Arabidopsis thaliana: one gene and its partners. The protein of the gene in region 2 interacts with the protein of the main gene of each other region in a pairwise test. Each region holds a gene or a part of one and is shown on either strand. Other genes may lie near its edges.

Evidence for each region. Proteins that work in one complex are often made in the same cells at the same time.
Region 1: the proteins of PSY (region 2) and GGPS1 interact in a two-hybrid assay, tested with the Arabidopsis thaliana proteins (one study listed by BioGRID).
Region 3: the proteins of PSY (region 2) and AT5G06130 interact in a two-hybrid assay, tested with the Arabidopsis thaliana proteins (one study listed by BioGRID).

Annotation. Positions count from the first base shown.
Region 1 is NC_003075.7:17,341,559-17,346,966, forward strand, and holds GGPS1 (geranylgeranyl pyrophosphate synthase 1), read left to right. Parts: upstream 1-1,815; 5' UTR 1,816-1,954; coding exon 1,955-3,070; 3' UTR 3,071-3,307; downstream 3,308-5,408. Other genes in the region: RCE1 (RUB1 conjugating enzyme 1), read right to left, coding at 1-12, 110-188, 283-391, 479-590; AT4G36820 (calcium uniporter (DUF607)), read left to right, coding at 5,331-5,408. UniProt on the Arabidopsis thaliana protein: Heterodimeric geranyl(geranyl)-diphosphate (GPP) synthase large subunit. In vitro, the large subunit catalyzes mainly the trans-addition of the three molecules of IPP onto DMAPP to form geranylgeranyl pyrophosphate while the small subunit alone is inactive.
Region 2 is NC_003076.8:5,657,608-5,666,200, reverse strand, and holds PSY (PHYTOENE SYNTHASE), read left to right. Parts: upstream 1-3,335; 5' UTR 3,336-3,745; exon of another isoform or gene 3,746-3,961; 5' UTR 3,962-4,113; coding exon 4,114-4,558; intron 4,559-4,635; coding exon 4,636-4,686; intron 4,687-4,770; coding exon 4,771-4,815; intron 4,816-5,227; coding exon 5,228-5,400; intron 5,401-5,517; coding exon 5,518-5,753; intron 5,754-5,901; coding exon 5,902-6,094; intron 6,095-6,191; coding exon 6,192-6,362; 3' UTR 6,363-6,588; downstream 6,589-8,593. Other genes in the region: GSTF12 (glutathione S-transferase phi 12), read right to left, coding at 6,879-7,327, 7,413-7,461, 7,527-7,673; AT5G17210 (transmembrane protein, putative (DUF1218)), read right to left, coding at 8,231-8,552. UniProt on the Arabidopsis thaliana protein: Catalyzes the reaction from prephytoene diphosphate to phytoene.
Region 3 is NC_003076.8:1,851,331-1,857,745, reverse strand, and holds AT5G06130 (chaperone protein dnaJ-like protein), read left to right. Parts: upstream 1-1,767; 5' UTR 1,768-1,982; coding exon 1,983-2,185; exon of another isoform or gene 2,186-2,399; coding exon 2,400-2,637; intron 2,638-2,733; coding exon 2,734-2,820; intron 2,821-3,245; coding exon 3,246-3,322; intron 3,323-3,450; coding exon 3,451-3,578; intron 3,579-3,682; coding exon 3,683-3,819; intron 3,820-3,914; coding exon 3,915-3,992; 3' UTR 3,993-4,314; downstream 4,315-6,415. Other genes in the region: SNX1 (sorting nexin 1), read left to right, coding at 122-193, 294-453, 574-707, 844-912, 1,016-1,095, 1,178-1,238, 1,325-1,534; AT5G06120 (ARM repeat superfamily protein), read right to left, coding at 5,145-5,303, 5,372-5,410, 5,509-5,607, 5,701-5,829, 5,954-6,100, 6,265-6,395. UniProt on the Arabidopsis thaliana protein: May be associated with accumulation of carotenoids in chromoplasts.

The DNA of each region.
Region 1 (5,408 bases), on a different chromosome or scaffold from region 2:
GGGATGATAAACCTAAACAAGAAAACCAACAAAGAGTTTCTACAACACAAACGATTTTGAAGTAGAAGCTGTAAACTATATAAGGCATGTAAAAGGAGGAGAGGCCTACCTTGGTTTTGCATTTAACTTTTGGAGCTTCATGTGGATACACAGGAGAGACTTGGAATGTGAAAACAAACGTACCATTGCTGTTTATTTGGTAAGAAAGAAACAAATAAGTTTCCAAAAAGTTTTTAAGAGACAAAAACGCAGGTTTCAGTGGGAAAAAAAGCACTACTTAACTGGTAATATCCATCATCAGGTTTAATGGATACTTCAAAGTTCATCAAATCATCTTTGCCATTTGGAAAAGATATTGAACAAGAGCTAGGAAGGTTCAACTCTGATATATCTGCACAGTTCAAAATCGGAAAAAACACCAAAAATTGAAACTTGGAGATGCAAGAACAAAAAAAAGATCAACAAGGCATTTATATACCTTTGTGAAGACGAAGTTCGCCAGCAGATTGCTTCTTAACAGAAGCTCCTCCTCTAGTAGCATTTTGAGCTTGTTCTCTTTGCTTTTCCTTTACTTTAAACAACCCAATCATTGTTTCTGACTTCTCTTAAGAAACTCACACCCACACACACAGCTGTGACAAATCAAAGAATGAATGATTAATTCTATGACAGATCAAAGAAGACCTTAAAAAATCGATCCTTTCGATATATCAAATCACAACTGCAACTAAACTCATATGCCCACTTTTATATTAATCTTGGTAACATAGCTTATTAGACTTTCACACAATAATTGAATCCCAAATCATAAGATCCCTAAAACAAAGCTATAACCAAAATCTCAGAAATGAAAACGCGTTATTACAAGACAAGCTAATCTACTTTAACAGGTTCAAAGATCGAAGACTTTCCTTCCACATAAGTAGAATCAGAAATCTCAAAACAACGACTAGGTCGAAACATCGAAAGTTAAACACCAAGACAATCAAACAAAGAGAATGAAGGAAGAAGAAGAAGAAGCTTACAAGTTGTTAAATTCGTTGCAAAAACACGAAAATCAAAACGAATTACGAGCGAATTAAAAAGGTCGCCGATTGATTAATCTCTCTCTCTCGCCTACCGGATTGTCGTCCTCTGAAGCTAAACGACGAAGAAACAGCAGAGAAATGGTTGCAATAATAATAAACACACAATCGTAGCTTTTTTCTCGACGCTGAATCAGAATAATTCAAAAATCTCGTACCTGTTTGTTGAGTTCCAGCTTGGCCCATTAAAGCCCGTTAGGCCCATTTCAGTTATATCTATCTTCCAACAATAAATTTGGTAGTTTGCGCGCTTTTAATAAGTTAAAACCAAGCAGTTGTCAGAGATCAACGAGCTCGTGTAAAATGTCCACAAGTGGGACTTGTGACCCGTATGCATTTTTTATGCCATTTTTACTAATTTCGTGTAACAAATCTACAAAACAAGATAATCATTAATCACTACGTAATCATCTAAATTCAATGTGTGGTATAGAAAAAAATAACAGATGAGATTTATGTGTTTAAGATTTTGATATTTTACCAAAACAACAATAGTATATATTTGTGGTATAGAATTGAAAATAAAAAGAAAAAAATCTAAAAAACTGACAAGTAATTTATCTGTAATCTAAGCCAGAAAAATATCATCTTTATGCTATAAAAACATTTTCCATGGACTTAAAAACAATAAAACAAAAACAGTGAAAAAAGAAAAAAGATGCTTTTCAATAAAAGTGAAGATCGTCATCTCCACCACTAACAAGGCCCATTCCGTAACACAACCCTATCTGTTACTTCCTAGCTTCTCACTAATGGCCAATCCAATTCTCCATTCATAATTTTGACTCCACTTTCCAAAAAAAACAAAAAAAAATAAATACTAATATAAAAAATTCTCAAATCTAAAATTTCAGATTTCAGAAATCGCCATGGCTTCAGTGACTCTAGGTTCATGGATTGTTGTTCACCACCACAATCATCATCATCCATCTTCAATCCTTACCAAATCCAGATCCAGATCTTGTCCTATAACTCTTACTAAACCCATCTCCTTTCGATCAAAACGCACCGTTTCATCATCTTCTTCAATCGTTTCTTCTTCCGTTGTTACAAAAGAAGACAATCTACGCCAATCTGAACCATCCTCTTTCGATTTCATGTCGTACATCATCACCAAAGCCGAATTAGTCAACAAAGCTTTAGATTCAGCTGTTCCTCTCCGTGAGCCACTCAAGATCCACGAAGCGATGCGTTACTCTCTTCTCGCCGGTGGCAAAAGAGTTAGACCAGTTCTCTGCATCGCTGCTTGTGAACTCGTCGGAGGTGAAGAATCAACCGCTATGCCAGCAGCTTGCGCCGTCGAGATGATTCACACCATGTCGTTGATCCACGACGATCTCCCTTGTATGGATAACGACGATCTCCGCCGTGGAAAACCGACCAACCACAAAGTGTTTGGTGAAGACGTCGCTGTTTTAGCCGGAGACGCGCTTCTCTCTTTCGCTTTCGAGCATTTAGCTTCGGCGACGAGTTCTGATGTTGTTTCTCCGGTGAGAGTGGTTCGAGCCGTTGGAGAATTGGCTAAAGCGATAGGAACAGAAGGGTTAGTGGCGGGTCAAGTCGTGGATATTAGTAGTGAAGGGTTAGATTTAAACGACGTCGGTTTAGAGCATTTGGAGTTTATCCATTTGCATAAAACGGCGGCGTTGCTTGAAGCTTCTGCTGTTTTGGGAGCTATTGTTGGTGGAGGAAGTGATGATGAGATTGAGAGGTTAAGAAAGTTTGCGAGATGTATTGGTTTGTTGTTTCAGGTGGTTGATGATATCTTGGATGTGACGAAATCGTCGAAAGAGTTAGGGAAAACTGCTGGGAAAGATTTGATTGCTGATAAGTTGACGTATCCTAAGATTATGGGTTTGGAGAAATCGAGAGAGTTTGCTGAGAAATTGAATAGAGAGGCTCGTGATCAGCTTTTAGGGTTTGATTCTGATAAGGTTGCTCCTTTGTTGGCTTTGGCTAATTACATTGCCTATAGACAGAACTGATTTGTGTTCGATTCCTTTTGTCGGGAATCATTATTAGATTGGAATTGTAGAAATCTCGGACAGGTTCTCTAGAGTTTGTTGGTGTAATCATCTCTATGTTTTCATGTACTAAAAAATTTGGATAGTAATGGATGAAATATGAAGAGGTTCATGTGTCTGTAATAGAGTCCCTGGTTGGTTTCAGTCTTTTTGAGTATTAAACTCTCTGTTCTTTTGGCTCGTATTTGTAATGATGAACAATGTGTTTTAGGACAGGAACTCTGGTTGGATCTGATAGATTCGCTAGTTCTTGCCTTATTGGTGTTCAGATTAGTTATCCAAAGGTACGGCGTTGTTTTGGGGCGTAAAACCAATCAAGTCAACGGAGCATACAGAGTTTAAGATGGACCGAGGCGAATACAATACATTAATAATTATTACTATATGTTTCTTGAATGGGCCAATCTCATTTGTTGGTTCCCAAATTAAAAAGCCCAATCCAAAAACAGAGTTCCAAAAAGCCCATTTAATTCTGCTTAGTACCATTTTATTCTGCTTATTCGAAGTCTTATTCTAGCTGGCACCAACAATTTTTATTTTTATTTTATGGCTTTTTCATCGTGAAAATCACTTATTGAATAGCAAACTACTGTTAGTTCGAAATCTGATATATATATATATATATATATATATTTTTTTTTTTTTGGAACTGACTATGATTATAACTTCTAATTAAGTCTTAAGTCTATAATCTTCGAGAATCATCAAAAAATGGCAACTTCAGTTGAATAAAATATGCCACCAACCTAAAACCATATACATCGATTCACCAACTCTCTTATTGGAATCAATGCGATATTCGATCTCAATCTTGTTGTACGATCGACTTCTGCATAGGATTTGCTACATTTGCTCCGTACACAACTTGCCGTTTTATTTATTTATTTAAAATCAATTTTTTACTCATATAAGTAATAAAATTTTATGGTGTATAATCAATGTGTAATGGCTTCCGTTCTTTTCGGAATATCCGTGTCTTGTGGTGTTGGTACAGGTAGCGTGAAAAATTTAGGATTTTTATTCTCACTTTCTTAATAATATCTTTCATTTTTTTTTTTTTGTGAATCTATGTTTTCAGTTCATTTCCTATTCATATATGCCATGTGCTGATGTGCATAGATTCGTCTAATAAGAATATCACATTATAAAAAATATTCTAACGTACGTGAAAATTAGATGTACCAAAATGGTTTATGTGATGTCTCATGTCTTAATTAGACCGAGATAATCGTTGAGTCGGAACTATGTAGTATAAAATAAGTTTGTTGACATAGCAAGGCATATTTAAACAGGGTTTACATGATCTTGATTTAAACACACACTAAATTTTTATTATCTCCATCACCATCAAATTTGAATCAGCAGTACAACCAAGATAACATGTATTTGGATTTAAACGTAAATATCAGGTTTATCATTTTAATTCTACGTGTTTATAAATTATAGAGAAAATTATATTTTAATTCTACGTGTTTATCATTAATTTTATTATTTATTTTTTCAACATGTTTATCCGGTGATGCTATTTTGAAAAACAAATTTGTAGATAAAACAGAAAATGTGGCGACACGTCCGTGTGTTTAAATTTACTGAATTACCTAACCAGACACAGTAGTTACATCCACATTACATCACATTTGTTATCTCTTTATTAGGTGTGCAAAGGATAAAAACGAAAAATGTGGCAACACGTCATTGTTTCAAATATTTACTAAGTTTTCCTTATATAGACATTATTACATCTCAAAAAATCATCTCTTCAACATTACCATTTACTACTAGATGCAAGAGATAATAACAAGATAAAACAGAAAATGTGGCGACACGTTTTTGCCTTTCTTTTTAATTCTGTTGTGTAATTTACTCATAGTCAAATAAGTTATCAAGATATTATATCTTTTTAAAATTTAATCGGACGGTTATTGAGGCATCGAAAGCTATCACCAACATAAATCTATCCACGTGGACGGTAGTCACCTATCAATATTCACGAAAAGGCAGCGTTTATTGAATTTCTCGTGATATATCTGCTGACGTGTATAAGGCCCCACAAGATTTATGTTAAACGTAAAATTAAAACTGTAACAGAGAACTTTGGTTACCTATATAAAGCTCGCTCTTGCTGTTTCATTTTTTCAAGTAGTAACTGAAATCGAATTCATTTTCTTCTCTTCCTTTCTGGGATTTCGATTTTTCGTATTTTTTTTTTGTTCTGTTCGTCATGGTGATGATGAAGAAGCTTTTGTCGAACCGTTTGTTCAATATGTCAAAAACGGCGTCGCAAAGTCTCATGAACTGT
Region 2 (8,593 bases):
ACCACAAATATCATGTGGTGGATTGACGTTAGAAAATAAAGGTCGAGTATTTCCTATTTTCTTTAGTTTTTGGATTCGTCTTTCTAGTTGTGGATTGTGTGTACATTTTACAATTAAACATAATATTGATTAAAGAAAGAAATTTTGTTTATCAAATCTGAAATAGCTAATTCCCACTAGAAAATTATTCATAATGATTCGGGGACAGAAAAATAACTATCATTTTGTTAAGTGGTTTGGAAACAAGTCAAAACTTATTTATTATCACTTATATTAACTATGACTTTAGAAAACGAAATACATAATTATTTATCTCCCTGTTGAGAGGTTAAAACTACATTATCATTCTCTACTACATGTATGCGCTATCCGTGTATAATGGGGAGTGTAATACGGGTCCATGACACATCCATTTAGTGTTACGTGGCTGACTCTGTACGTAGCCATTACCGAGTTATTATATTTATATATCACAACTTTTTCTAGACCATTTTAGAAACTAGAGTAACTAAAACTCGTCAGCAGAAATATTTTATATACCAAATTTAAAATATTCAGGGAGGCAAAAAACAAAGAGGAAAAAACACTTGCAGCATTAAGTGACACTACGTGTCGCGCCATGTAACCATGTAACCATGTAAATGGTGACTACGGTCCATTTCTTTGGTACTTTTTATAATAAAACCTTTTTTATTCAGTTATTTACATTATTTGATATAGAAAACGATAAAACTCCATCTCAATTTTATGGGCCACGAAAGATGACACAATTTACGAGTACACGTTTCCATTTACATCTATGTCTCCATCACTCGCCGAACAAATTTTAGTACGTGAAATGTTTGACGAATTGCATCGAACCTTAGTGATATTATCGTGAATTTCAGTGGCAAAGATTATAATTAAAAATGAAGATTTGTAATTTGAAATTGTACATAAACATAAAAATTACAACGTGATTTACAACCACTTAAGTTGGTTTAAATTTTCTTTCGTAACCGAAACATCTCTATCATAAAACTAATGCTTGCTATACGACTACGAGGGTTATGAGACAAGTTTCTATGCATGTTACAGATTGAAATCTTTTAAAGAAAAAAAATTCATGTAAATTGTTTTTTTGATTAATTAGGTTCAACCATGTCTCATCTTTATGTTATTCTCATTCTCCATATATAAATATATTATCCATAAGCTTGGCCGGCTCTCCAACCGTTCTATTAACAATAGCACTAAGCAAGAACTTCAATATGACCACTCTCATTTTCCACCTTCGATCAAGCAACAACACAGCTGAGAAAGTAGCCAAGCTAATTATCACTATCTCTAAACGCTTGTGATTCTAGATTGTACACGTTATAAGTACCAGGATCTATGGAATTAAGTTGAGTAAAAACAAAGAGTGATAGTCACTGACTCAAACAAAAACGTCTTGGTCAGTATATATAACTTACTAAAAAAACAATTAAACTTGTTATACCATTTGAAATTTACTACTCATCAATCATCATGTCTGTTAAATTTTCAGTATATTATAAAAACGCATTTCCATTAAATCAAAGTTAATTATGCCAATTTTCAGTATTCTATTGATAACTCGGGCTAATCCACATCGAAGCTCGACCAAGTCCCATGCATATGGTCTAGGTGATCCTCTAGAACTAGGGCGGTTGACATAAATTTCGTACGAAAACAATACTTTTATCATTCAGTACTAAACCAAAAAAAGCGGTTTCTTTACGAGAGAATGTATTTGAAACAAGATACGGAGAAAATACGGACCAGACTAAAAATAACAAAGGATAAAACCAAAATCAAGAAGAAACTTAAAAGACAAAACCTTCTGAGCGCAAGAGAGAGGGCCAAGTTGCGAAGACAGTATGGGACCCAAATACCGACTAAGCGGAAATCTAACTTTTAACTTTTCCTACCAATGAAACATTGACACGTGGAAAAGCAACGTCGCCCACTTTACCCTCCGCACTTTGAAATCTTTGATAAGCTTATCGCTCTCCCATTGGCCGTAGGCTCCACGTGGCATCTCTCTGATCTCTCTTCTGCTAATCCTTTTTTACCCAAACTGGCATGACCCCACCCCTAAACCCCTATTGTCCTTTCTACCAACAATTACTTAATGACTTATATAATATTCTAATTATATTTTAATTATGTAATTAAATAACTATTGATCCCATCTCCATAGTGACATGTCTCACTTTTTCTTCCACAACAAAATGCGTCACTCTTGATTCATCATGTTCGTAGCAAAATCCACGTTATTACAAAAAACGTTATACATTTTGAAAGGTAATCCATAAAATAGTGAGATGGATCAAGTTTTCTACGCAACCCTCGTAGAATTTTAGCAATGATCCAAAGCTACTGTATATATATAGTTACGTTTCGTAACACAACATGTATTTTACCATGATTATGCCTCTTTTTTTTTTCTTTCCACAACATATATGTATTTACATCCTTATTTGGTTTAGGCTGAGTTTGTTAACATAGCATCACCAATAGGGACAATTTTTTTTTTTATTACAATCTAAATATCTAAAATATAAATTCACATGAAATTAATGTTTCTAATAGAGTTCTTCAATCTTCATGTACAATTGCACATTTTTGTGAAATTATTATTACTTTATCATTTTTTCTTTAAAATTAATTCACCGAGTACCGATAAATGTTTATATTGAATACGATTTAGTAAACGACATATATGTTTCGTCACATTTTTATCACTATTTGTAATATATCTGTTAAATTTGATGATGTAGTTTCTGTTTTTGAATTGAAAACTTACAAAGTTTAGAAAAAAGAATGTAAATTAGAAATAAATACACTTTCTGTATTTTTGAATACTATAATAGGCTAAAATCACATCATTTTCTAATGTTGCTTTAAATAATATATATCAAATAAAGGCTTAAATTACATTTATATAAGAAATATTGTAATACAAATATCAATTTAGAGCTATTAATTTACAATTACAACCTGTTGCCCAATTGATGAATAAATCAAACATGTAATTAACCAAACTTTCTAATTGATCAGGAATCAATTTAGCTAAATAATAAGACATAAATTTGGCCAAGAAAAAGAAGAGAAAACATGTTAAATAGGTAATGGGTTTTAATATTGGGATAGTTACCTTTATTTGAAAACTATTAAGGTTTGATTTAAGACACGAGTCACTCGAGAGTCGCATCTCGCCAGTCAAAAACTAAATTAAAAAACTATATAGACCCAAAAAATAAAAATAACGACTTTTGTATTTATACTGGCAAGATTCTCATTAAAACCCAGCAAAAAAAAAAAAAAAAGACAAAGAAGGAAGAAAATTTGAGTGGGTGAGAATTTTTTACGATAGAGGAAGAGACAGCATCATCTACTTGTGTTGTCTGTGTACATATATTACAGTAAGCGTTGCAATATAACTTCTTGAGGATCTTCTCACATTAATGGGTCAAACCTTTTGCTCTTCCTTTTGATTAATTTAGTGTTTGACAATCTCCTCCTCCTTCTCCTTCTTCTTCAAAGTTTTGTCGCAGTATCTATTGTTCTTACAGAGAGAAAGGTAGGCTTTTGTGTCCATCACTCATTTTCGCTCGTTTGGTTAAGCTTCATCTGCCATGTGGTTCACTGTTTTGATACTTTTGGGCTCTTATACCTAATGTTGATGTAACACAACGATACATAATCTAATTTGTTTTCGAGTGGAAAATAGTTGAACCCAGTTGAGTATTTAGCCAATACGATTAGAGGATTTACTTGTTTTTTCTCTTTTCATGTTCTTCATTTGCTTTTGAAGATCTTCCTCTTTATGTTTGTGTCTCTTCGCTATTTTACTTGCTTGAAGAAATTGAGTTTCTCATCTCGCTTAAATTTGGCTTTATATACAGATTTAGAGATCTCGATTCCTAATCTACTTGTTTTTGTATTCAATTTGCAGGAAAGCTTTAGTCTTTTACCAGTTTGATCCAATTCTGGGTTTCACTGAAAAAAAGTTGGGAGTTTGATTCTTCTAACTGTAGAAGAAACAGAGTCAACAGAAGAAAACTAAAAAAGTTGAGATTTTTCTCTCACGCGCTCAAGAACTTGAGTATGTCTTCTTCTGTAGCAGTGTTATGGGTTGCTACTTCTTCTCTAAATCCAGACCCAATGAACAATTGTGGGTTGGTAAGGGTTCTAGAATCTTCTAGACTGTTCTCTCCTTGTCAGAATCAGAGACTAAACAAAGGTAAGAAGAAGCAGATACCAACTTGGAGTTCTTCTTTTGTAAGGAACCGAAGTAGAAGAATTGGTGTTGTGTCTTCAAGCTTAGTAGCAAGTCCTTCTGGAGAGATAGCTCTTTCATCTGAAGAGAAGGTTTACAATGTTGTGTTGAAACAAGCTGCTTTGGTGAACAAACAGCTAAGGTCTTCTTCTTATGACCTTGATGTGAAGAAACCACAAGATGTTGTTCTTCCTGGGAGTTTGAGTTTGTTGGGTGAAGCTTATGATCGATGCGGTGAAGTTTGCGCTGAATATGCTAAGACGTTTTATCTTGGTATGGATCTTTTTAACTCTTCTTTGGCTTTGGTGTAATGTAGAGTGGTGTTCTGAGTTCTAATGTTTGTGTTGCAGGAACTTTGCTTATGACACCCGAAAGGCGAAAGGCGATTTGGGCAATCTACGGTAAGTTACTGCACAAAACCAATGGTTGAAGAGCTGTTTTAGAATATTTGCATTGTCAACATTGATTATAATTGTAGGATAAAGTGATGCTCAAAGTAGATTTCTACAAACAATCTATTGTGGCTCTTGGTTAGTATCTAGTTAAGTTGTCTTAACAAGAGAAGTTGAAGCTGAAATAGATTCCTTGAATCTTACACTCATGTAGAAAGATAGGTCTCTAGTTAGTTTGTGTGGTTACCTTGTGTCTAAGATAAGTCCATGAACACCAAGCATCCAAATTTGCACCCTTTGAAGATAAAGAATAAAGACCCAAAAAGACTAGCTTAGTTACTAATATGGGTTTGTCCAAAAAAAAAAAAGTTACTAATATGGGTTTTTAATGGGCTTTTTTGGCCCAATGGTCTTAAACTCTGGAGATTTTACTCTAATGACCCCCTGTCTAGGACATACTAGTATCCAAAGCATATGGGGAATTTTAAAGTTGTTTTCTTATATGTTTGATTGGTTTGAATTTGATAGTTTTACTCTGTCTTTTGTGCAGTTTGGTGTAGAAGAACTGATGAACTTGTGGATGGGCCAAATGCTTCACATATAACTCCCATGGCTTTAGATAGATGGGAAGCAAGGTTAGAAGATCTTTTCCGTGGTCGTCCTTTCGATATGCTTGATGCTGCTCTCGCTGATACAGTTGCTAGATACCCGGTCGATATTCAGGTCAGCCTTGCTCTGTCTTATCTTACTTCCTCATTTCATTACATGAGTTAAGAGTTGCATTCAGTCCATTGCAATAAACCTTATAAAACTTTGGTCTAATGTTTATTTATGTTGCAGCCATTTCGAGACATGATCGAAGGAATGAGAATGGACTTGAAGAAATCGAGATACCAGAACTTCGATGATCTATACCTTTACTGCTACTACGTCGCTGGAACCGTCGGATTGATGAGCGTTCCGGTTATGGGAATCGATCCTAAGTCGAAAGCAACAACCGAAAGTGTTTACAACGCTGCCTTGGCCCTTGGTATAGCCAATCAGCTTACTAACATACTCAGAGACGTAGGCGAAGAGTGAGTCTTTTTATATATTTTAAATAGAGCTTTGGTTTCTTGATTTCACATATCTCACTTAAACCGGTTTCTTGATTTCACATGCTTCTTTTAAACCGGTTTCTTGATTCACATATCTCTCTTAAATTGGTTTTGTTCTCACTATCAGTGCGAGAAGAGGAAGGGTTTATCTGCCTCAGGATGAATTGGCTCAGGCTGGTCTTTCAGATGAAGACATATTCGCCGGAAAAGTAACTGATAAATGGAGAAACTTCATGAAAATGCAGCTTAAACGAGCAAGAATGTTCTTCGACGAAGCTGAGAAAGGCGTCACCGAGCTCAGTGCCGCTAGCAGATGGCCTGTAAGTGTCTCTAAAACACTCTTCAGCCGCAAGTTTACCGTTTACTTATTTCTTTTGGATCGATTTTAACCCCGAGGACTTGGCTGCAATGTTTCAGGTATGGGCTTCATTGCTATTGTACAGGAGAATACTGGACGAGATTGAAGCGAATGATTACAACAATTTTACTAAGAGAGCTTATGTGGGGAAAGTCAAGAAAATTGCAGCTTTGCCATTGGCTTATGCTAAATCAGTACTAAAGACTTCAAGTTCAAGACTATCGATATGAGAGCGAGAGGAAAGTGGAACAAAAACAACCTAAGAGCGCTTTTTGTGATTAAGAAAAAACTTAGGCTCGAATTTATTATGTTAACTAATATATACATATTAATGGGGAAGCAAATTCTTATAATGTTACATTATCTTTCTGAATGTAAAAAAGTATTTTTTTTTTTAATTTTATTTTAGTTATAGTTCTCTTGGCCTAATGAGGGGATATACAATTTTTGGTTGATGAAATAATCTTGTGATATACATACAGAAAGAAGTTCTTCTTATATTCGAATAATAGTACAAGTGAGTAACCTTGTATACTATGTAAAAACTCCACTTCTATTTTAACCCCATTTTATATCTCACTCAAAAATAGAGTAAAAACTTAAGAATAGAGAACTATGGTCTTAGCATTGACATGAATCTTAAAAGTATATTGAATTTATTACTGAAACGTACAAAACAACACAAACATAAAACAGAAACTATAAAGCTTATTTGGTTCTTCAGATCATCATAAATTGGAGCTAATTCAGTGACCAGCCAGCACCATAAGCTTCTTCCAAGACGGTCTATCCGAAATCTCTTCCCACCACCGGTTAAAACTACCCCGAGCCTTAACCATCTGGTTTATATCGGTTATACTCATCAAGTACCCCATCGCCGGCATGTGCGTCAAATCAGCCATAGTGAATTCTTCACCAGCCAAAAACCGGTTCGAAGAAAGCCGGTTATTGTATATGTCCAAGACCACTCCTAGCTTCACTTTGAGATCCTCGACCAAAACGACGTCACATTTCTCGCCTAACCTAGGCTTGATGATTAGGTTAATCACGAGGGGTTGGGCCAGAACGTTGAAGTAATAGGTCTCCACGTCAGCCCACTGGTCCACGATGGCTCGGTGCTCTAGAGACTTGCCCAAAAGGTTCGTGCCTTGGTCCGCGAACTTGGTAGCGTAGTATCTCGCGATGGCTCGTGATTCTTAGAAGATAAAGAGCCAAATTTCAAAACACTATAAAGAAAATGATAGAAGAATGTTTATAAAATGTTGTTATTAGGATGTTACCAAAAAGCTTGAAATCTCCATCTTCTATGGCTGGAACTTGACCAAATGGCTACACATGAAAACAATAATTATAATATATTTATGTTTTAAGTTTAAGAAATTTGTTTTTTTTACCTGACGAAGAAGATGTTCTGGTTTTTTTTGCTCAAATGTATCAAGATCGATATGAATAATCTCAAATTCAATTCCTTTCTCGAGAAAACAAAGCAAGACTCTTTGTGGACAAGCTGCTGTTACCTGTCCATATAGTTTCACAACCATTCTATAAGTTTACAATAACTTTGTTACGAATAAGAAAGATTTTACTATATGCACTTATTAATATCTTGTCTATCAAACTGGTTTATAAATGAGAAGAAATGAGAGTAGATGTGTTGGCATTTTATTAGACTCAAGATTTGAAGAAACTGGTTGTTGTGAGGGTTGGGTAGAACATGTGGTGGTTGTTCCTCTAACGGTGGATATGTATCATTGAAATTTCTCTACAAACTTTTAGTTCCAACTATCAATAACAAAGTTCCCTTGTTTGGGAATAAAATTTCGATTACTATATATCGCTATCGAATTTTTGTTGTAAATGAGACGAACACTTCTCTTCCCAACAACCACTTTTGACTTGCATAATAAATAAGAAAGATTCAGAGAAAAAAACTACAAAACTAAGTGACGTTTTTGGGGTTCTCAAAGATTTCTACTTCAATCAAGAATAACAATCATTACAAAGTTTCAATACTCTTAATCAAACACATATCCGTTAATCATTTTGTCTAAATCTTCTACTAAACCTAACGTGCTTTACAAGCAAGCTTTGTCTGTTTTTAAGTGAACTGTCTTCTCATGTAAGTATCCTCATGAACAAAAACAGGATCTTCTACTCTCTCTGGAATCTGAGGCTGCCCCATTGCTATTCCTGTTCCTTGGGTCGTTGTGGCAGCAACAATTTGCTTATTTGAAGTCAAACATAAATAGTAGACAATCCCAAGGGCAATAGTAACAAGCGAAAGCACAGCACCGGTAGAGAAAACGCCTGGTTTCACTATGTAGCAAAAGTAGGTACCAGCATTCATTGATTCCTCGGTGTGTTCATCGTTGAGTGCAGCTCCAGAAAGCAGCACGAGGAAAGCTATTACAAAAGTGAACCTATAGTAACGCGAAATCACTCACTCACTAGTTGTAAGCAA
Region 3 (6,415 bases), 3.8 Mb from region 2:
TACTACATCATCTTCACATAAAAATGCTCGTAGAATGCTTCTTCTTTTTTCCTACTGGAAGGACTGCAATTTGCATATTAGAAGGTTCTTGTCTCTAATGACAGTTTACTTTTCTCGTCAGACAATGGACAGATTCAGGTTTCAGGAAACTAGTATATTCAAGAAGCCTGCAGATCTAATGCAAATGTTTAGGGTAAGAATGTTTTTTCTGACCATGTAAATATTATTTTTCTGCTCTTTATTGACCTTTGTGGTGCGCCATCATCTTACTGCCATATCTGCACTATTGACAGGATGTCCAGTCAAAAGTTAGTGATGCTGTCCTTGGAAAAGAAAAACCTGTTGAAGAAACTACTGCTGACTACGAGAAGCTTAAACATTACATTTTCGAGCTTGAGAACCACTTGACTGAGGCTCAGAAGCATGCGTATCGCCTAGTCAAGAGGCATAGAGGTAATAAAAATATCACAAATCAGAATTTAGTCTATATAAATTCTGTTATGTTTTCTGTTTTCTCTTTCCCAACCGCATGAATGGATCTTCAGTTTTAATGCTGTATCAACCTATTGGCAGAGTTGGGTCAATCACTGTTGGATTTTGGCAAGGCTGTAAAACTTCTTGGGGCTTGTGAGGGTGAACCTACAGGAAAAGCATTTTCCGATCTTGGAACTAAATCTGAACTGTTATCGATTAAGCTCCAGAAAGAGGTATTAAGTTTGTAAGACTAGATCATCTTCTTCTTTTTTTCTAAATCATTATAGTAAGAAATGTATATATCTTGGCGAAATTCATCTATTCTATATTCCTAGATGCTTTTATTGACCTATCTTGCACTATTTGTAGGCTCAACAAGTCCTGATGAACTTCGAGGAACCCTTGAAGGACTATGTTCGTTATGTACAATCGATTAAGGTGAGTTCTCTAGCCTTTGCCTGTGGGATTGATTTCTCTTTCATGGTTTCGTTTTGCTGGTACTAAACTCTTACCTTTTTGTTTCCATATTTTGCTTTTCCAGGCAACAATAGCAGAACGAGGCACTGCTTTCAAACAACATTGTGAATTGTCAGAAACAACAAAGTTAAAAGAAATAAATCTGTATGATGGCTTCTCTCCCTTTTTGTCTTCTCTGTCAACAATCGTCGTAGAACATTATAGAAATTCTCGTCTGTTATTGTAGTGACAAACTCATGCTCACACGTTCAGACAAAGTAGGAGAAGCTGAGATCGAATACAGAGAGGTAAGAAGAACTCAAAACAATCCTTGAAAATTTTGTAGTAATGCTTTTGGGTGCTTGAACTTGTGGTGTATACCGCAACAATGCAGATAAAAGCAGAAAGTGAGGAAGCCACGAGAAGATTTGAGAGGATAGTAAAGAGAATGGAAGATGAGATAGTAAGGTTTCAAGAGCAGAAGACGGAAGAGATGGGAGTGGCATTCCATCAGTTTGCGAAAGGACAAGCTCGCTTAGCAAACAGTGTCGCGGATGCTTGGAGATCCCTTCTTCCCAAACTTGAAGCTTCTTATTCTGTCTAAATCCAAAACTAAACTTACCTGTGTCTGTGTGTGTTCCTTCATGAGAGGGTTTGTGTCTAGAGGCAGTTTGTTTTTGTGAGAAATTCTGGTGTTTTTTTGTCAACTTCAAGTTTAGTTAACTTGGCTTGTTTCCACTTGTAAAGAAGATACATATGCGTCATTATTACTCTCCTAAACGTTCATATAACAATTTTATTTTAGATTACAACTTTCCCAATTCACTAACATGATACTGCTAGTATATTGAATCTTCTTATGTTGGATGCTGCAGATCACAACTGTGTCATTTTAAGATATGTTGCTGGTTCGGTTAGAGTTTGTTTAGGCCTAACTTTTAGCCCAAAATGGTAACCTTCGTAGTGATCGGAGGGTTCCAAAAAGTTGCAATAACTTAAAAAAATTATCCGAAGAAGACGATAGACAGCAAAAAGCGTTGGGCGAGAAGAAGATGACGTGCTTCTCTTCTGCTACTCCTCATCGCCATCATCTTCTACTTTCTTCTCCATCTACTTCCAAATCCCTGCTTCGATTTCCCTCATCTTATCTGAAACCTAGCCCCAGTCTTCTCTTCCATGGCTCATCTCGCTCTCTCCTCTCCTGTTCAGACGGCAGCAACAACCGTCCTCCTCCCTCCGGTGACACCGTCCCAAAGCAAGTTCCTCTGATTTCTTCCTTTATTGATGAATTCTAGGTTTCATCTTCAAATTTCACCTGGGTTTGGCCAAATCGATATCTATTGTTTGAGAGCTCGATTAGTGATTAAGTGGGAGCCTTGTAGCTATGTATATGATCTATAGCGTGTATAACGATTATCATTTTGATTCTAACTGGTAATAGATTATTTGTTTGGTGGATATTGTTTCAGTAACTTCTGTATCATTGAGGGATCAGAGACAGTTCAAGACTTTGTGCAGATGCAGCTTCAGGAAATCCAAGATAACATAAGGAGTAGACGCAATAAGATATTTCTCCTCATGGAGGAAGTGAGGAGGTTACGTGTGCAGCAACGTATCAAGAGTGTTAAAGCCATCAATGAGGACAGTGAGCTCGAGGCTACCGAGATGCCTGAGATCACATCTTCTATTCCTTTCCTCCCTAATGTGGTCAGTTACAAATTATGAAACGGTCTCTTGTTCAGTTTTTGATATTCCCTTCTGTTTTAACTCTTCTTTGTCTCTGCTTCTTATCTTTTGATATAGACACCAAAGACTTTGAAACAACTCTATTCGACCAGCGTTGCATTGATATCGGGAATTATCTTCTTTGGTGGTCTCATTGCACCTAATGTAAGTACAAGAGTAGTAGACTCCACGTTTCTTTCTTTATGTTCGCCTATAGCAATATCAAAGCTCTAGATTTTGTTTGAGTTAATATGCTTTTCACACAGTCATCTCAGTTTACTGCAGCTCTTAGAACCCTACTAATCTTACAACAATGCACGAGAGCTCTTTAAAATATATGCATTTACTTTCCTGGCTATATTTTGCAGGATCCATCAAGTTATTAGTGATGCAACAACAATGGCACATTAATCTAAATATACTTGCTTTTTGTTGATAGCAACAGATTGTGGAGATTACTATTTTTCCTTCTTTGTGATGTATACAGTTTTTTGGTTTTTTATTGAGTTACTGTAACTTTACCAGAAGAACAATAGCTATTCTTGTTTTTTCTAATCCTTGAATGATAAATTGATGATTTTACATGGCAGCTGGAACTGAAGGTAGGACTTGGAGGAACCTCTTATGAAGATTTTATAAGGAGCTTACATCTACCCTTGCAATTAAGGTACTACTACTAGTTCAGTAGCTTGAAGACTAATATGATTGAAAACATAGTCAAACTAGTCAACTTTACTTGTCCTGAATCTGAAACAGCGACATTGATTTTTTTTTTTTTTTTGTTCTGTAATGTAGCCAGGTAGATCCAATTGTGGCATCTTTTTCTGGCGGGGCCGTGGGAGTCATTTCAACCTTGATGCTAATCGAAGTTAACAATGTTAAACAACAAGAGAAGAAGAGGTGCAAATACTGCCTTGGGACTGGTAATTTTATTGTATATATCATGAAAATTCTTGATTTTTTCTTCGAATTACTTCTCAAAATGAGTTGGAGAAATGCTCACTGGTCTGTGTTCACATGATAATAGGATACTTGCCATGCGCTCGATGCTCAGCTAGTGGTGTGTGTTTGAGCATTGATCCCATCACAAGACCTAGAGCTACAAACCAGCTTATGCAGGTCGCGACCACAAAAAGATGTCTAAATTGTTCCGGCGCAGGAAAGGTAAGATTCTCTCTATTTCATGCAATCTGATCTGAGTATTATATAATTCATTGTTGTCCTTGTAATGTTGAAATGTGTATTTGTATATGAATCAGGTGATGTGTCCGACATGTCTTTGCACCGGGATGGTAACAGCTAGCGAGCATGACCCCCGCTTTGACCCTTTCGATTAGAAAACAATGGCCTCCTTTGAAATTGGTCCTTGCAAAAGCTAAGCCAAGCCTATGAGAACTGAGGAGAGCCAAACCTCGTCATATAAATGTTTTACATAATAAAAGTAATTACATAATAAAAGTAACATTAGAATTTTTAACTTTTGTCTATAGTAAACATGGGAAAGTATCGGTTATGTAAAGTACTTCTTCACAAACTAAAAAAATTCACCAGATGATCTCCGGTGAAGATAATAGGATATATAGTAGCCATCAACTCCGTCATCATAAGCTGTCTTGTTGTATTTACACTTCGATTATTAATTCACAAACTTTCTTGCCAACCGGATAATGTAGGTTAATTCATTACAAATCGATGTGTAAATACAACAAGACAGTTTGGCCGAGTGGTCTAAGGCGCCAGATTTAGGCTCTGGTCCGAAAGGGCGTGGGTTCAAATCCCACAGCTGTCAATTATTTTACTATTTTAAAGAATTCTTTTGTATTAAAAAAGTGCCAAATGACTACAGCGTCCTCATGGAAACCCTAATTTATAAGAAATTATCGCCGGCAATTTCTTCCTTTGTGTTACATCAAGCCCTCGCTGAAGAAGAACATTTTGAATAAACTCCCTAATTTTCAAGATTTGTGTTATATATTCCTTGTGTAAAGTTTTTTTTTTCATTTTCGAAAGCCATCTATGTTGTGGTATGCAGTAATGCAAGAGTTACTGTATGAGCAATATAGGCTAATAAATACTAGAGAGTTATACGAAAATCCAGACAATAAACAAAACAAATACTGCATTTTCTTTCAGATTTGTTTACCATTACAAAGAATATGTGACCTAACTGCTCCCAACATTTGCAAAAGTAAACCCTAGATTTCAATGTTTTACATCAACCTTGTTATGGGGCTGACAAGAGACAAAATAAATCCCAATGATGAATTAAGCCACAATTGCGAGGAAACCACCAAAACGTAAATCTTTCTTCATATTACCCTTTCTTCTGAGAGAATAAAGAAACTGTACAGTACCACAATCTCGAGACTACTTTTTTGTTTTTCCATTTTTTAACTTCTGAAGATTTCTGGTTCACTGTGTCATGTGGGTCTTTTTGATGAGACCCCTAATGTAGTAGACTGTGGCTCAGGGACTGTGTTTGGCCGATTTTATTTAACGCGGAACTCGTGTCTGAAAAGGGTCAAGTTCTGAGTGAACTTGTCTCTGTTCTTTGAATCTAATCCCCGCGATATGTCTGTCATAAGACTGTCAAAGCAGGCAGAGAGTCGCTGGTGTTGATCCGCAGGCTGCACCATTAGAATAATGCTCTAAGGCATACACAAAAAGCAACACTCAGGGGTAAAATATATATAGATATAGAATTTTGGATCATCACCTGTGATGAGAGGATCTTAGCTTTCAGATCAGAGAAAATCTGGGGAAATCAATTGAAATAAGTTAGATGAATGAACAACAAAGCTCATTCGGAACAGAAAACTGCACAAGAGAGATAAATGTATAAATTACACATACCTGCTCACTTATAAGAATCAAGCTTAACATTGGTCTGCTGAGACTCCACTGATTGCCACAATCCTCGAATAAAACTATTTCAAACAGTGTCTTCAATATCTGCTTGTAAGAGGATATTTGTTAAAAGGCATTATAGCCCATCATTATTGTGTTCAATTTAACAAAGAGAGATTGAGGAGTGTAATGAGTTACCTCGGGGAACAAACTCGGACAGTCTGCAATGTGCTGTGCAAAACGAATAGCAGCTGGAGTAGTAGGTGCCTCACCCATTGTGATGTTATTGAAATAATATGAAGCAAGATTGTCGACAGCTATTGCACACTGAAAGGATAATAGATATCAATGCTTCAGAAAGTTGCATTTCGAGGAATATCTTTTGCAGCTTAAAGCTTTAAGAATTTCTTGATAAATTGATGTGTCTTAACAGTTTTGTCACAATTCTCACCTGTGATGAAATACTTGTGTCCAACCCCTTGAGTCCAGATTCAAGGGAACCTACGAGATGCATAAAGGTTGCAGTGTCCAGTTTCAATATGAAGGTAATATGACTGGCACACAAAACCTCGACGAACCCAAAGTATGCCTTTGTAAGCTGAAGGATGAAAGGAAGACTATAAAGATTAGAGATTTTATAACGACAAAGAAAGAATTCAGAGTAAACATAATTCAGATAATGCAAACAATATCAAAAACGTGTTGATTTGATCACCAAATGAAATTATTGGAGGCACGTGGAAAACGCAATGCCACACATACCTTGCGATATGCTAATATATCTGCCAAGGGTATTGCAAGGGTCATCTTCAACGCAATATCAAGTGCATCCGCAAGAGCCCGGTCACCATAAAGTTCAAAGACACCGAAGTTGCAATAATTTCCCGAGAGCGCTGCCCATTAGATGATGGTT